2 linked regions of the Canis lupus familiaris genome follow. The protein of the gene in region 2 binds, or shares a complex with, the protein of the main gene of each other region. Links are inferred from orthologs where the notes say so. Each region holds a gene or a part of one and is shown on either strand. Other genes may lie near its edges. The genes, in order: CSF1 and CSF1R.

Region 1 (3,811 bases), on a different chromosome or scaffold from region 2:
TCCCCTAACCCTAAGCTCCACGAGGGCGGGAACCATGTAGTTTTTGCTCACGAAGACATCGTCAAGGCCCAGTACTGTGTCTCCCGCATGGTATGTCTTTAGCAGAGGTGTGTAGGGTGAATAAATGAATGGGAGAGTGAGTGAACAATGACACGGGGTGAGAGGCAAGCAAACACACTCTGCGTGTATGGGCAGGGATGGTACCCCCAAAGCCACCCGAGGCTCTTAGAACTCAGTGCTCCCCAGGACACTCCTACCTTGTCCTGCTCTTCGTAGTCCTTCGTGAAGCAGCTCTTTAGCCTCAGAGAGAGTTCCTGGAGCTTAACGATGACATTGGCGTTGGGAGTATTGTCTTTGAAGCGCATGGTGTCCTCCATTATGTCTTGCATCAGGACAAACGCCTTCTTAAGGTAGCACACGGGATCTTTCTGGAAAACCAGAAACGGGAGTTGATGGTACGCCTGATGTGGTCTGAGAACCCAGGCTCTGTGACAGATGTCCCCAGTCCTGGCAGATGGAGGGCTGCAGCCTGCCTTACACCTGCCCCTGAGGTGAGGGCCAAGCCACTCTAGTATAAGAAGGGAGGTGCTGACCTTGGCTGCTCTTTCACTCTGTCTCTTTGGGATCTGGAATTGGGGTAGAGGGAAGGAAGTGGCGGCTCTGATTAGAGACCTCCTCAGATTTCTGGAAGATGCGGCTTTAATCAGAATGGGGGTGCATGGGTAGGGTGGGCTCTGGGGAACTGCTGTCTTTTTGCTTGCTCTCACAAAAGTCCTTCTAAACCTCCAGGCTGCAGGGGAACTAGAGGACACCAGAGGGGACAAAGAATAACCTCAGTGTTTTGTCTTCCCGAGGGATGGTGGTTGCCTCAACAGACAGCCTGCTTCAGCTCTCTATCCTAGTACCTGGCCCCATCATTTCTGCGTGAGTGATCGAGTGAAATACTGAGGTTAGTCTTTGGGCCGTGAGGTGGTCAGGGGGTCAGAAGCTCAGAGATGGGAGCCCCTTCTGGGTGCACCGCGGTGATTTTGTATATGGCACAAGGATGAGCCCATGTGCAGTAAGGGACAGGGTCCAGGCAGTTGGAAAGGCGTCACAGGCACGGGAGGAGCGTGTGCACAGGCTGGGAGGCAGGGAGGGGAAGGCAATGGCGGGGGCGGGCCAGGTGATGTGCCCCCAAAGCTGAAGCTGACCCAGCTGGGCTTTCTCCCCCAGCGAAGCTGAAGCTGACCCAGCTGGGCTTTCTCCCCCAGCAAGGGGGGCCAGAACAGGTTCAGGAGAGGAAGTGAAGGCAATAGGCTGGAGTTCCGAGAGCTCCCCCTACGGGCTAGATTATGGGTGCAACTGGAAGGGGAGAGGCCTCTTAGGAGGCGCTTGGCACTGTCCAGGCAACTGGTTGGGCAAGGCTGGGGCAGAACCCAGAGCTGCTGGGAGACAGAACAGCAGCTCACGGGGGCTGGCTGGGTGTGGGGTAGGAGGAGGAGGGAAAGGGCTGGACCGACTCCCTGGCTGCTGTGCTGTCTGTTGGATGGAAATGACATCCTTAAGCAAAGCATGTGACGCAGAAGGCCTATTGGTGTGCCTTAGGCCTTAGAGCCAGCCTGCCTGGGTTCAAATCAGGCCTCCACCACTTAGTAGCTGTGCTCCCTTACCCTCCCTGAGGACAATAACCAAGATTAGCAGATCACATAGTTGTACCGTCAGGATTAAATTAGAAAGTGCCTGGCACATAGTAAGAGCTTGATATGTGCCAGGGCAGGAGAAGGGAGCAGCAGGGGACTTGAGGCCTGGACCTTGCTCAGCCCCAGACCCTGGCATCCCAGGACTGAGAACCGGCAATCCTCCCACCCTCAAATCCTACCTGCCCAGGTAGAGGATTTCTACCCCCTCCGTGCTCCCACATATACCCACCTCGGAAAGCTGGCACCCGGGCCTTGTAAATAACCAGAACTCACCAATAGCTCCTGGTCTACAAACTCAAAGGCAATCTGGCACGACGTCTCCATCTGACTGTCAATCTGTAAGAGAGAGCAGGCCAGTGGTGGCAGGGTGTCTGTAGCTCCACTGGGCCCACCTAAGAATGAGGGCTAGAGTCCCTGGCTGGATCAGGCTTTGAGCCTCTTCTACCTTCCCACCAACCACACTGGGAAAGACAGAGCCAAGGGAAAGACTTGTGCCTCCCACATGCCCAGCGTGGACTGTAGAAGAAGTCTCTTCCTTCCACCTCCTACTCCATGAATCTGACAAAGACCAGTTAGTTATAAGGAAGAACTATCTCAGAGGATATTGGGCATAACCTTCCATGATAGGTAGTGAGCTCCCTGTCGTGGTGGGAATTCAAGCATAGACTAGACAAGATCTGGGGGTTCAGAATATATAGGGGCTGGGGCTAGATGTCCATCAAGCCCTCACTGGCCCCCCCAGAGCAGTGGTTCTGTGATTCTAAGGCTCAGAGAATGCTGTGGCTCTTGGTCTACCTGGGAGAGCTGTAGCAGCTGTGTGCAGGAGGAAAACCATAGCGGTAAGAGAGGCAGCAGGCCCAGCCTACAGGCCCCAAGGAGCTGGCCTTAGCCAGTGCTGCCCCACCCGGCCTGGCCGGCTAGAGGGACGGTAAATTCTCTTCTGAGCAGGACAGTGGCCATCATGGTAACCTGACTCTGCCTCCCTGAATCACATTTGGAATTGTTGACATCCCTGCCTGCCCAATTAGAACAAGGCACGGGCTCCTCCATGGCGGCCTGGGTGAGCAGTCCTTCCCAGCCCCGGGGCTCAGGCAAGAGCCAGGAAAGTGAGGGCGGAGGGCTGGGAGGTAGGCTGGAGCCTCCACTCCAGATCTGGCTGAGGCCCTGGTGCCAGGTTGGCGGCATATCTGGGAGTCCAGGAGTTAGAAGCAACATCTGGATGCAGCAGGCAGACACACTGGGCTGGCTCCCTAGAGGAAGCATCTCAGCGAGGGACTGCAGGCCTCACAAGCCTTTTCTAAGTCCATGGTTGACACCCTGGGCGATCATTAACCCAGGCCAGTGGCTGGAAGCCCACCCTGTCCATGGTCTGGACAGGCCCTGACCCCGAGAAGGTCACTGAGGAGAGAATCCGTGGGGCTAGGTGGGAGCCACAAACCACATCCTGCACAGCCATACCTCACTGCCTGCAACCCTTGCCTTTGACCCTGCTGCCTGGCTCCTGCCTCAGTTTCCCCAGTGAGGAGAAGGTAGACAGTCACGGCCCCACACTCACCAGCTGCTGGAGGAACTGCAGGTGCCCGTTCCCAATCATGTGGCTACAGTGCTCTGACACCTCCTCGGTAGTACTCCGGCTCGCCAGGAGAGAGACCAGCAGCAGCAGGGGCATCAGCCATGTCTATGATAGAGAGTGCGTCATTATTCCCAGCTCTCCGTCTCCCCAGGAACCCCCATGCCCTGAGGAGAGGGGAAAACCAAGGACCTCATACCTACAATGCTCCAGGTTCTGCCCTTTACCCCAGGATGCAGTGGTCCCTGAATCCAGCTTTCTCAAGATTTCCTCACTGGCATGCACTGTCTTGCTCTCCCTTGACAACCCACATGTCATCTTCTTCAAGAAGCCTTCCCTGATTAACCCAGGCCAAGCTTGATCCCACACTGAACTTCTCACGAGGATATGGAAGGTGTTCCTACCAGTCTAAATTTCAATTACACAGGACACTCCTCGAGCACAGGACTTGCATCTGCTCATTGTTGTGTCCCTGTGACATGCAACACCGAGCCAGACATCTTGTGGGTTGTCCACTCCTCTCAAGTTCATGTTCATGCACCCACTTCCAGACTTCAAG
Region 2 (3,811 bases):
CACATCAAAGCCCTCCCCCCAGCCCCCGAATGTATCTACTTACACCACCATCACTGGGTTAAGCAGTCCCTGCTCAAAACACCAGCACCCAGGTTAGCTGCAGCCCCGAAAGCACCAACCCTGCCAAGAGGGACTGTGAGAGGGATGAGAGGCAGGATGTAGCCCCAGGGCTGCAGAAACCAGGGTTCAAGTTCTTGTGCTGTTGTTTCTTAGCTGTGTGATCTTAGACAAGGTACTCAACGTCTGATCCTTTGCTTCCCTTTCTGTGAGGGTTACACTGATGGTTATTAATTCACAGGCTTGGCCTGGGGACGAAAGGGGCATATATTCGGGGTACTTGACTCAGAGCCCAACTCAATGTAGATTGCGGTTATATACCAATTTAATGGTGCCTTTTGTTACAGAAAAGACCCAGAAGCAAATGCAAATAACAAGTTATCCTCAGCTGATTCCAGATAATTTTTCCTTTTTTTTTTCTTTTCTTAAGCTCTATTTTAGCATTTGTCCATTATGGACATGCACTGTTTAGGTAACAGATATGTTTTTTAAAAATAAACTACAGCATATCATTATAAATTACACTGGGCTAATACCCATGGTATTCAAAGGGCAATCTCATTCAGCTAGACCTTAGGCATACAGAACCCCTCTACACACCTGCCTCTTAAGCTGGAAGAATTTAACTTTTTTGTGTGACTCAAAGTCACCATCATGAATGAACACATCCATCACATGAGCTCAGTTTGGTGGCTGTTTGGTGACCAGGTTTTTCTGCCCTGTGCTGGATGACCCCACACTACCGTGTTTGGGGGATCTCCAGAGTTTCTTTTTTGCAATGTCCCTGTTGTCTATGGATCCCTGAAACCTGTCCATGGACCACCCCCTCCCAGGGGTCTATAGACTCTAGATTCAGAACTTCTGCTTTAGACAAGGAGAAGCTAGAAATCCTGACCAGAATAGATGAGAAAGGAACTGGGAGGAGAAAAATGAGGAGGACAAGGAAACATTTTTGTCCTGCTGAACATTTTGTTCTGTTTTGATTCTGAAATTTGGCAAGCTGGAAGCCAGGCATTCATGAAGTCTGGGCTTCAGAAGCTAGAAAAAGAACTCCGGAGAGTTCTGGAGTTAGAAGTTGGCTAAGGGAGTATCTAGCAAACATCTAGCAAATCCCTAAATAATGGCAAATATGTCTCCTCTCCTAAGTCAATTAATGATGAAAATACTGGCTGGAGATGGTGTCAAGGACTCCCAGGCTGCATGGGGACCCTGAGGGAAAGAGCTCGACAGTAGAATAGAGAAGTCTGTCAAGAGCGTGGGATAGGAATGGGTTGCATGCACAGCGCATGCTTGCTGTTCTTGAGTGCCGTACTCTTGTTCAGACACAAGTGGGTAAAGAAGCTATTGTTTTAACACCTGCTACTGGTGTTCCTCCTATAGACGAGACTCTTATGTAGTAGACAACCTGGTTACACCACTTTGGATGGGAAAGTGACACCCTGAGGTCGTAAGGAGACAGAAAATAGACTTCTAACATGTTGTGTTTGGGAGATAAGCCAGATTCTAGAAGTGGAAAGAAGGGGGAAAAGGAGTCAGATGACACTTTATGAGAAGCATTTTGAGCCTGTAGAGAAGAATGAGCCCTTTAAAGAACTTTTGATGTATATGTGATTGTGTGATGCTAGTTCTGTCTACCCCCTAAACCCATGTATGCGGTAGATTGCCTGTGTAGTCATTATTAGGAGGGTGTCTAGGAGTAGAAATCATGAAGCATGGGGCAGCCCGGGGGGCTCAGCAGTTTAGCGCTGCCTTCAACCCAGGGCGTGATCCTGGAGACCCGGGATCAAGTCCCACATCGTCGGGGTCCCTGCATGGAGCCTACTTCTCCCTCTGCCTGTGTCTCTGTGTCTCTCTCTGTGTCTCTCATGAATAAATAAATAAAATCTTAAAAAAAAAAAAAAAAGAAAAAGAAAAGAAATCATGAAGCACTGTCTTCTATATTTGGATTGGCCACAAAAGAAGAGAATTAATGGGATTAAGAATTATTCAGTGAAAAAAAAAAAAAAGAATCTTCAGTGAGCCTGAGAATACACACCCCAAGAAATAGTAGAACTCTTGAGGAGGGCATTGGATTTTCCAAGGATGTGGGACAGAGGGGCAAGCCAATTTTATCAAAGTCTCAAACACAGATGACTGATATTGAGGTTCTATAGTCAGGAAAAGTGAGACCCGGAAAAGGGAAGGGATTTATTTGATCCAGGTCACTAGCAAGGCTGAGATATGACCCAGTCAGTGTCCTGCTTCCTGGCTGAAGTGTTCCCCTTCTGGCTGTGGGGCCATCCAGATTTGAGCTGACAGGTGGTACCTGTATGTGTCCTTCGTGATGACAAACTTGAGTTTGGCCTGCTGGTCGGAGAAAGGTCCCAGATAGGTCCAGTTATAACCTTCCAGGCTTGGGTAGGCCTCCACCTTGACTTGGAGATCGACCTTCTCACCCACAGTCACTTCCTGGAGGAGGCTCTGCTCAGAGGTCAAGTTCAAGTAGGCACTCTCTGGAAAGCAGAACACGTAAAGATCTGGCATTGCTGGGAAGATGTCTCAGTTTATTTGCTCATTTGGTGATCCACCCATTGACTCAGCCATTTAGCTGGACCCTTCCTGTGTGCACCAGGTGTGCAGCCCCCACCCCTAACCAAGACTCATGCTCTGGCATCTCCCTTCCCACCACAGCCCCACAGAAACCCAAACACTTCGCTGAGCCCCTGGGAGAACTCGGACAAATTCTTATCCTCTTTGCTACCTCTGCCTCCTTATTTATATAACCAAGAGATTGAATATTTTGTGTTGGTATAACCTTTGAAAGTTTTTCAGTGGCAAAAAAATCAAAGTGGCAAAATGCAAAGACACCCTCACTCATTTCCCCTTCTTCTGGTTATAGTTCAGGCAGTGAAGCTTCCACATCTAGCTCTAAGGAGGGCATGTGACTTAGGCCAGCCAGTCAAAGTAGTGTGTCCCCTTTGGACCAGTGAGTGGTTTAGAGTAGGCACATGAGCCCTTGGGTCCTTTGACACTTACTTCCATGATTTTTGTTGGAGCTCTGGGAAAGGAGAAGCCCTAACTCCAGGGGGTTGTCAAGCCTGATACTTGAAGGAGTCCACAAGAAAAATGTTGAGCTGAGAGGCAAGAAGCAACAGGTTCTTGTCCATATCAACTGAACACCAAGATCCAGTTCACCTGAAGCTCAGATCCATGGGCTTTTTAGCTATAAGGCCAATAAAATCCTCTTGTGATCAGGCTAGCTCAAGTTGATTTCTGTTACCTATGCCTGAAAAAGTCCTGACTTGTTTCTTCTAATTAAATCTTGCATGAATTAAAATCAAGTTGCTTTGGTTGAATCTCAGGCAGAGGAGCTATGGCAAGAATCCCCACTTACCCTCTCCATGCCTCTCACGGAAGCTCCTGAAATACTTTTTCAAATCCCCCAAGACTTTACAAAAAGCCTGGAACTAGATGATCTCTAAAGGTTCTTCTCCTTACTCGTCTATGAAATCTAAAACTCACTCTTTTACCTGCCTGCTCCTAAGTCCCTTTGGCTCCCCTTGGAGCCATACAGATTGGCAGTCAAGGCTCTCCTCAATCAGGTCTCTCTTTATGCCCGTCTAGCTGTCGCCCCTCTTCCTACACACACACACACACACACACACACACACACACACACACATATTGCTCCACCCATCTGGGCGTTCTCATAGGCCCTGAATACACCACAGTCATTCCTACCGTGGAGGTTTCTATCAAGCCAGTTTCTCCACCA

Evidence for each region.
Region 1: the proteins of CSF1R (region 2) and CSF1 are in contact, whole or in part, in a crystal structure (PDB 3EJJ), measured with the Mus musculus proteins. The link is inferred for Canis lupus familiaris from reciprocal best matches to the Homo sapiens genes CSF1R and CSF1. Residues at the interface, in NP_001032948.2 of Mus musculus: Arg142, Arg146, Leu149, Arg150, Lys151, Lys168, Val169, Leu170, Ser172, Asn173, Val231, Gly232, Phe233, Leu248, Ser250, Asp251, Phe252, Asp254, Asn255, Tyr257, Lys259; in NP_001107002.1 of Mus musculus: His38, His41, Met42, Gly44, Asn45, Gly46, His47, Phe87, Gln90, Asp91, Asp94, Arg98, Asp101, Glu110, Arg111, Gln113, Glu114, Leu115, Asn117.

Annotation. Positions count from the first base shown.
Region 1 is NC_049227.1:42,498,142-42,501,952, forward strand, and holds part of CSF1 (macrophage colony-stimulating factor 1), read right to left. Parts: exon of another isoform or gene 3,452-3,811; intron 3,361-3,451; coding exon 3,238-3,360; intron 2,019-3,237; coding exon 1,956-2,018; intron 429-1,955; coding exon 258-428; intron 1-257. UniProt on the Homo sapiens protein: Cytokine that plays an essential role in the regulation of survival, proliferation and differentiation of hematopoietic precursor cells, especially mononuclear phagocytes, such as macrophages and monocytes.
Region 2 is NC_049225.1:59,905,518-59,909,328, reverse strand, and holds part of CSF1R (macrophage colony-stimulating factor 1 receptor), read right to left. Parts: intron 2,550-3,811; coding exon 2,363-2,549; intron 1-2,362. UniProt on the Homo sapiens protein: Tyrosine-protein kinase that acts as a cell-surface receptor for CSF1 and IL34 and plays an essential role in the regulation of survival, proliferation and differentiation of hematopoietic precursor cells, especially mononuclear phagocytes, such as macrophages and monocytes.